2 linked regions of the Schizosaccharomyces pombe genome follow. The protein of the gene in region 1 purifies or fractionates together with the protein of each later gene. This does not show direct contact. Each region holds a gene or a part of one and is shown on either strand. Other genes may lie near its edges.

Region 1 (3,965 bases):
CCCTGAGTAAGCTATTAAACACATGCCCTTTTTACAAAGTCGTTGGTTCTGGTGTATGCTTGAAGTATGGGTAAGTGAACTGGGTAAAAAATAATATTAATAAATTGAATGTTAAACGTTATGAAGAAGAAATAAAATTTTCAAATAAAAATTTTAATACTAAATTTAATACTTAATGAGGAAATAATAATCATTATATACCAAAAGATGCGAAAAGGCTTTCCTTTAAAGATTGTAGTTCTTCCAAAGCTCTCAAATGCATTTGTTCATATGCATAAAATAACTGTATAGCTTGTGACCCTTCCTTCCAATTATCAATTAATCGTGATTGTCCAGGAGTATTCATTAAGTCGAGTTGGAAGCATTTATTTTTGAAGATTTGCCATTGAAATGCATACTGTGTATAAATGATAGAATAAGACGACCAGCGTCTCTGATACATTTCAAAGGAATTTAGATAGCTATCTACAGAGGCATTAGTCAGGTTTCTCGGTGCCTCTGGAGGGATGGGTGCCTGGATAGTTGGAACGGATGGAGGTTTGGGCAGCACTTTAGCAACTTCATCATCATCCCCTTCAATGGCAAGGGATCTCAGTATCGACTGAAGCTGGTCATCATACTCAGTCGAGTTAGATGTTGAATCGTTCTCTGCGGACAAGTCATTTAGCTGAGACCGAGTTTGATTTCGAGAAAGAGAAGAAGATTTAGAACGACTTAAGGGCTTAGGGGGTAAAGGTTTAGAAGTGGGATGTCTAAATGGAATTTCAGGTTTTGATGGTGAATTATTATCAGAATGCTCAAGTTTTATTTCAGGTGTGATATCAGTTTGATAAACGGATGGGTGCTCTGGAGTGTTTGGAGAAGTAAAAATAATAGATTCTTCAGATGTATCTTTAAAACGTTCATTATTTGATGAAGAAGAACTTCTTGGAGAGGATTTTGTTATTGAAGAATTTTCAACACCATTGGAATTCAAACCATTGGATATCTCAGACAACGGAGTATAGGTGCGTCGCTTTTCACGAAGCGATTCTAAATACAACTTGGCATTAAATTTATTATAGTTAGGGCCTTTAAAACGAGGACTACTAGAAATTGGATCCACCACGTTTTCAGTAGCATATCCATTCTTCTTAAAAATTGGAGACGTTTTTGGATGCAAATAACCAGATGATATGTAGCTTTTTGAGGTAGATACCTCTTTAAAGCTATTGTTCTTTTCCATTTTTCCGGAAGCGGAAAAAGATCGATGAAGTGAGAAGTTTGTGATATTGTTATCTTTCGAATCTACGTTTTCCCGGTCTTGTTTCTTCTTTTTTTCAGCAAATTTGGTAGCCATTGTGACACTAACCTTGGATGCAACTTTCGTGGAAATATCATTCTTTGGTCCACTTTTTTTTGGACGGAATCGCAGCACCCCATCAGGGCGACCGGCTTCTAGTAATCTTCTTTGATCAAATAACTCTCGAAGCTTTGGATCCTTTAAAACTTCATGAGCTTTTTGTATCAACTGAAACTGTGGAAGAACCTCGGCTTCCCGACCGGGGTTACGATCGGGATGGTATCGTAAAACAAGCTTTAAATATTGCTGTCGAATTTCGACATAACTACTGGTACTTTCCGCTCCAAGGATGGTGTAATAATCCACAAATTCATCATGAAACGCCGTCCTCGCCATTCACGAGCCTTTAAAATATGCGACACCTTTCTTAAAAAGATAAAAAAGTTTGAAATTGGTTTATAAAACTTTTAAATTTCACCCAAGTAATGAAACCTTTGTAACTAACCGATTTTTGAGGTTTTCCTGAAACTGCTCGAAATAGTGTTTTCGACTTAAATTAACTTGTAAAACGTTCGTTCCTTTTTCTTTATTTTCGCAAATATTAGTTAAGAAAAATAAAACGAGTTAAAAATTTTAACGATTAAACTCTACTTTGTATCTTCTATACTTGACTAGAGCAAACAAAGACACCCCTCGAATTTGTGATTTTTACAACTTCATTAGTTTATAGCTTTGCTACGTGTTTTCCGCTTATTAGAACAAGCGAAAGCAAAGCAGATTTTTGCTGTTTTGCTTTTGGTAAGAGTTGATGAACAAAGAAGTAGTGATACTTTGAAACGAATTTGCTAATCTTTTTGAAGAGCCTATTCAATCATCCAAACTTGTCAGCATAAGTCAATAAATTAGATTATTATCTTCATTGTCATCAATTGTGTTTTCTGGATGTTGTTTGAGCTTTATGTTTTGGGGCATTGCTGAGTCTTAATAAACTTCAATGCAGCAGGGTCATTTTACTTCGAATAGTTACCACAGTAAAACTTTAAATAGTTCATCTCTACCTGTATCTTCAAAATTTTCTCACACTAATGATCCTGATGTTGAAGGCGTTGACAATGATAGTTTCTCCAAGGCATTGTGTAACAAAGATTTAGATCCTTCTTCCACTATTCGTTCAGTTATAAGCTCTTTATTAGATTCTTTACAAGATAAAGCGCTCCAACAGTCACCCAACACCTCTTTGTCAAAATTACTGTTGGAAGACCAGGATTTTGGAAGCTTGTGGTTGTCATTAAGTTTTATATTTTGTAACTACTGGCAACCTGCTATGCTGATTTTGGATTCTAAAAGCATTCATCCACTACCATTAACCGATGGTGAAGTTTTACATCGATGGGAATGTGAAGTGGATTCGAATAATAAAACTACGATTGATTTGAAGTATTGGTATTGTTCATGCTCTCAATTCTCTTACAATGCTTTTAATAGCTCGAGATCTTTTGACGAGCCAATGCCCAAAAATGAGCAAGAAACCTGGGGTGGAAGATGTCTTTCCCACCACCCTACGATTTGTTCCCATATTTTAGCTGCTTCGATTTTACGTGCTTGCCATAATCTGGTAATTTAAAAAACGTTAACCCAATTCGTTTAATTGTGACTTGACTATGATATTTAACAGTAAGGGCCGTTTAAATTGCTTTCTCAATGTAAAAGAAGAAAATACGATATGATATTCATACAACGTGATTAAAAAAAAATGTCTTATTCAGATTATGTTATGCTTTAGTTATGATGCAAGTTCATGAACCCTGAACTGGTATAAAAAAGAGAATATTGTAAGTGGAAGACGAAGCTAGCATAAGTGATTAAATGGAAAGTAAATTCCAAAATGTTCATGAAGTAGTATATGTAAAAATAAATGGTAAAGATACTCAAATTCGTTTATGAGCTTTTTCCTCTATTCCAAGATAGATATCTTGGATCGCCTACGCGTCTAGGTTTGATCAAGCAAGCAATACTAAGGATTACACCGCTCGCGGCGCAGAGCCCACCGATAACAAAATAAAGAATTCCTAAAAAGTAGTTCTTTCCTCCAATAACGGATGTTGTTGAAAACATAATAGTTTTCGTTCCTTTATATTCTGTGACAGGAAAGTTATAAGTGATATTCATTTCATAAATGCCAGGTTGAAGTGCAGTAGTAACGTTTCGAAGAGCAAGTTTGCTGAATGTTGGAAGAGCAGCAGCTCTCATCCAAATTTGAAAGGCATCCCATGTAGAAACATCGGGAATATTGTCGTCAGTATATCCATTGGGAAACATTTTTGCCCAATTTGGAGGTGGAACAATTTGGGAAGCATTGTACTTAGTTTTTTTGTATCTTTCTCTATCTTCCGGCCACGCAGTACCATTTGTAGTCATATTGTAAAGTCCAAGGGAATTTGAGCTATCAAAGGATTCGTATCGTAGAAGAGAAGAATAGCTATCGTTGAAAAGCGAGTTTGCGATAATGCCACAGGGGTAATAAGGTTTCCCTTCCTCATTTGCTTCTAACGGCTTGCAGAAACCATAGCTCTTCAGTTGTGCAACAGTTCGTGCTTCGCCTAGCAACTGAAACATATCGGCGCTAACAGTATATCGACGATGGTTTTGATAAAAATTTTTGAGACGATAAAAAGCAAACACG
Region 2 (3,807 bases), on another chromosome or scaffold:
TATGAATGGAAGAGAGCTTCGTGTATTATTGCCAAAAGAAGCACGGGATCAGGGAATTACGCTACCTTCCTACATGCGCCATCCTCGCTTGTTTGATTTATCAAGCGAATACGCCAAGTGGCAGATTCGCATGGGTGCAGTACCACCATACACAATAACGCTTTCTCATATTTTTGGTAAATTAGATGTCGACTCTTTACCACCTATTACAGAGTCAAAAGCAATTGAATTATCACCTTCAGATGCTCCTTACATAACCAAAGGTCTTACTCAATGCTGGCGCCTTGCAAATGCTACCACCTTATTGCTTCGTAAAGCAGAGAAAGATTCTCGAGGTCATTCTCTTCCTTCGGTGCTTACACAACCCATTAACTGTCAAGCAGACGCACGAAGCTTTTATGCAGAACGGTCAAAAATTGTACACGTTGCAGGTTTGACCAACGATGTAACACAGCTCGAGTTGGAAAGTTGGTTTACTAATCATGGGGTTCATCCCGTAGCTTTATGGACTTTAAAGACTCCCGAACCTTACAAATCTACGGGTACAGGTTTTGTGCTATTTGCTAGTCATGAAGATGCTGCCGATGCTCTTGCCTTTAATGGATATTGCTTAGGAGATCGGATGCTGGAAATTATTCCCAGTAGTACAAAGGTTTTAGATAAAGCTTCAGACATTCTAATTCCTTTTCCTTCTAGTAAGAATCGCCCACGCCCTGGGGATTGGAATTGCCCAATGTGCGGTTTCAGCAATTTTCAACGTCGAACGTCTTGTTTCCGATGCTCATTTCCTGGTCCTACTCATGTTTCAGCTGCTACTGGTAGCAATACTTTTTCACCTGATTTCCCTTATGGAAATTCATACGGCAACGGCTCCTCTCACTTTATTGCCAACTATGGTGGATCTGTCCATCATTCTAACGAAAATACCATGCAAAGTGATCTTCAGCATCAGAATGGCAATAATGCTGTAAATCATCATCATTCTTCACGCTCATTCGGTGGTAATGTCCCTTTTCGTGCTGGTGATTGGAAATGTGGCTCTGAGGGTTGTGGATATCACAATTTCGCAAAAAATGTTTGCTGCTTACGCTGTGGGGCTAGCCGTGCTACAGCTGCAGTCGTAGCAGATCATGCATCTGGGCCGGTGAATGGTTCGTATAGTCATAATTCATATTCTCACATCCCCCCTGTTATGAGTACAAGTCCTCCTAATCATTCGGTGTATCCTTACTCACAACTTTCTATAAATTCAGTAACGGCTAATCATGGTCAAAATTTTGGGGGACAAAATGGTGGTAATGTATCTAGGTTCGATGATCATGGACGCTTTAAAGAAGTATCACGTCCTTCCGTTACTACTGATCAAGGCGATTGGTTATGTGAGTGTGGATTTACTAATTTTCGTCGCCGCAGTAATTGTCTCCGTTGCAATGCTCCGCATTACTCTAATATGCAGATTCCTGCATCCTTGCCTTCGGATTTCAATGCTTACGTGTAAAGTTGGACAATTATATTTAATGGATAGGTCCCGTAGTACAAAGGATATTTGGTAAACACTATAGCTAAAAATGCAAGTGATTAGTGCGATAAAAATAATCACTTATGTCTTGAAGGAGCAAATTTGATGAAACAATTGTTATTATTTAAAGGCAGCATTTTGAAAAGCAACTCTATTGGAACAAAAATTTAAAAGTTGTATTGGGTTTTCTTATGAAGGTTTTGCATAAACATTGAATTACAGGTGTGGTCAAAATTAGTTCATAATTTTCTTTGGTGGGTTTTTTTCTTCTATTTAGTGCTATTTAATTTTTGACCTTGAAGAAATTTTCGGGGAAAAAACAGCAGTCAATCGTATAGAGCTCTCCCATATTTGGGATTTGGGGATTCATTTGTTTTGGAGTGTCACACTCATTGAACGTTTGAAAAAATGGTTGTTTACCTCTTACAGTTGTCAGTGCTGTTCAAATTTATAGGGTTCTTCGGTAAATAATGTATTGTTAATATTCCTTTTTTTTATTATATAATTTATAAAAATTTTGTAACGATAATGATTAAATCAATCGATACATGAGGTTACTTGTAATACATGGCATTATTAGAGAGAATTAAATTCGCATATGTAGCATTTAAAAACAGTTAGTTGATGCTTTTCTATTTTTTCTTTTTATTCTTAAAGGGTTATTCTCAATATATACAAATCCACACCAGTGTGGCTATATACTGTACTCGAATGTTGACGACCTTTCTGCTTCTTTAATCCATACCCTAATTAAATATAATCCATGTAGATAGTTCAACAAAAAACATGAGATAAGATTCAACACACACTCATGATTAGTTAAATACTTGTTGAACATTCCGGAAATTTTTGACGATTGTACGTATCTTTTCCTTCAACGCATTTGGGTGTTTATCTCTTTTAGAATGCCATTAGCATAACCAGGGGATGATTGCAAAAATCAATTTCATTGATCATCAATATCGTTGGAAAAAACAATTCTATCGAAAGTTTAAAGCATACCAAGCAAATTCTTAAAGCAGCTTATATATTTTCTGACATTATGAATCAGGTTACTCAATTTAGTGGAAATTCTGCAAACTTGATGCTTTACTGGATTCTAAAAAGTTATTACTCTAGGTTTGATAGAATTATGTGGATTGATACTTTAGGTACTTTCAATCCGGCTGCACTCCCTCTTCCATGTCTTGAAAAAACTATGTTGGTTAGATCATTCGATGCTCAGGGATTGAAGGATGCAGTTGATGAGTTGGAAAGCAATCTCAAAAGCTCCGAAGATCAAGCATATGCATTGTGTATAGATTCCTTTTCTAATCCCATTGGTTTGTTAATGGCTCAGGGCAATATATCTTTTGCACATGCATTCATGATGACTTTAGGAAGAAAATGCCGAATCCTTACCAGAAAATTCAGATTAGCAGTATACTTATCTACTTCTCTTGTGTACATAAAGCAACTCCACCTTTCCAAACCAGCGCTGGGAAACAGCTGGCCATTTTGTCTTGACCATTCATATATTCTAGAAGATCAACAGCATAATAAATGTTTAGTACATTGCAACCAAAGTCGTAAAGATTTACTAGGTTGCTCACAACTTTTTTTACTCCTTAAAGGTTCGTTTACTCACGAATATTTGACTATTGATTTCTACAATGGTACACCTGTCTCTGTTTCATCTAAATTGCATGTATCACCAAGTCTGTATCACTCATCTACGCTCAACAGTCCATCATGAGTATACTACCCCAAAATATCAAAGTTTAAAAAATATGTAGATGACTTATTAAGGATTTATTTAATGATATTGTTTTTTATACATTCAATAAAAATCTGTAGATAACACTTCTAAATAAAGAATTAAAACTAACATATATAAAAAGAATATTGCACAAAATCGAAATCATATTTGATAGGCCAAACGATCATTGTCAATATCAAACTTTCGCTACAAATTTAGAGGTATAGAGAGGCCGAAAATATGATATCACGATGCAACTTTTGTTCAGTCAACACACTCTTCTCTTTCAATTCATTATTGCCTAATACAATAGCAGCATGTTCAAGTTGTTTTAACAACTCATCTAATCTCCTGAACGTTCGAACAATTGAACCTTCATAAAGCTTGGAGACAATGCATATTTCTTGAAACGAGGCTCCATTGATCCATAAAGATACAGGCTCCATAATGTCAGGCTTAAACTGATGGAGGTAGTCGCTTTCGTTAAATTGAAGCTTACTTTCTAACGAAACGGTTGCTATGCGCTTTGCTGCTTCAATAATCGTTAGAT

What was found.
Region 2: the proteins of sws1 (region 1) and rdl1 purify together in Schizosaccharomyces pombe (affinity purification with western blotting, with the first as the bait; one study listed by BioGRID). This does not show direct contact.

The regions. Positions count from the first base shown.
Region 1 is NC_003423.3:1,492,876-1,496,840, forward strand, and holds sws1 (SWIM domain-containing Srs2-interacting protein 1), read left to right. Parts: upstream 1-1,954; 5' UTR 1,955-2,080; exon of another isoform or gene 2,081-2,142; 5' UTR 2,143-2,276; coding exon 2,277-2,906; 3' UTR 2,907-3,136; downstream 3,137-3,965. Other genes in the region: random septum position protein, DNAJ domain protein Rsp1, read right to left, coding at 194-1,678; aminophospholipid translocase regulatory protein Ivn1, read right to left, coding at 3,221-3,965.
Region 2 is NC_003424.3:2,007,596-2,011,402, reverse strand, and holds rdl1 (RAD51D-like protein 1), read left to right. Parts: upstream 1-2,255; 5' UTR 2,256-2,561; coding exon 2,562-3,254; 3' UTR 3,255-3,307; downstream 3,308-3,807. Other genes in the region: RNA-binding protein involved in heterochromatin assembly Dri1, read left to right, coding at 1-1,498; exosome RNA helicase subunit Mtl1, read right to left, coding at 3,473-3,807. UniProt on the Schizosaccharomyces pombe protein: Involved in homologous recombination where it functions at an early stage of recombination in a pre-recombinogenic complex with rlp1 and sws1. Also has a role at a later stage of recombination in association with the rhp55-rhp57 complex.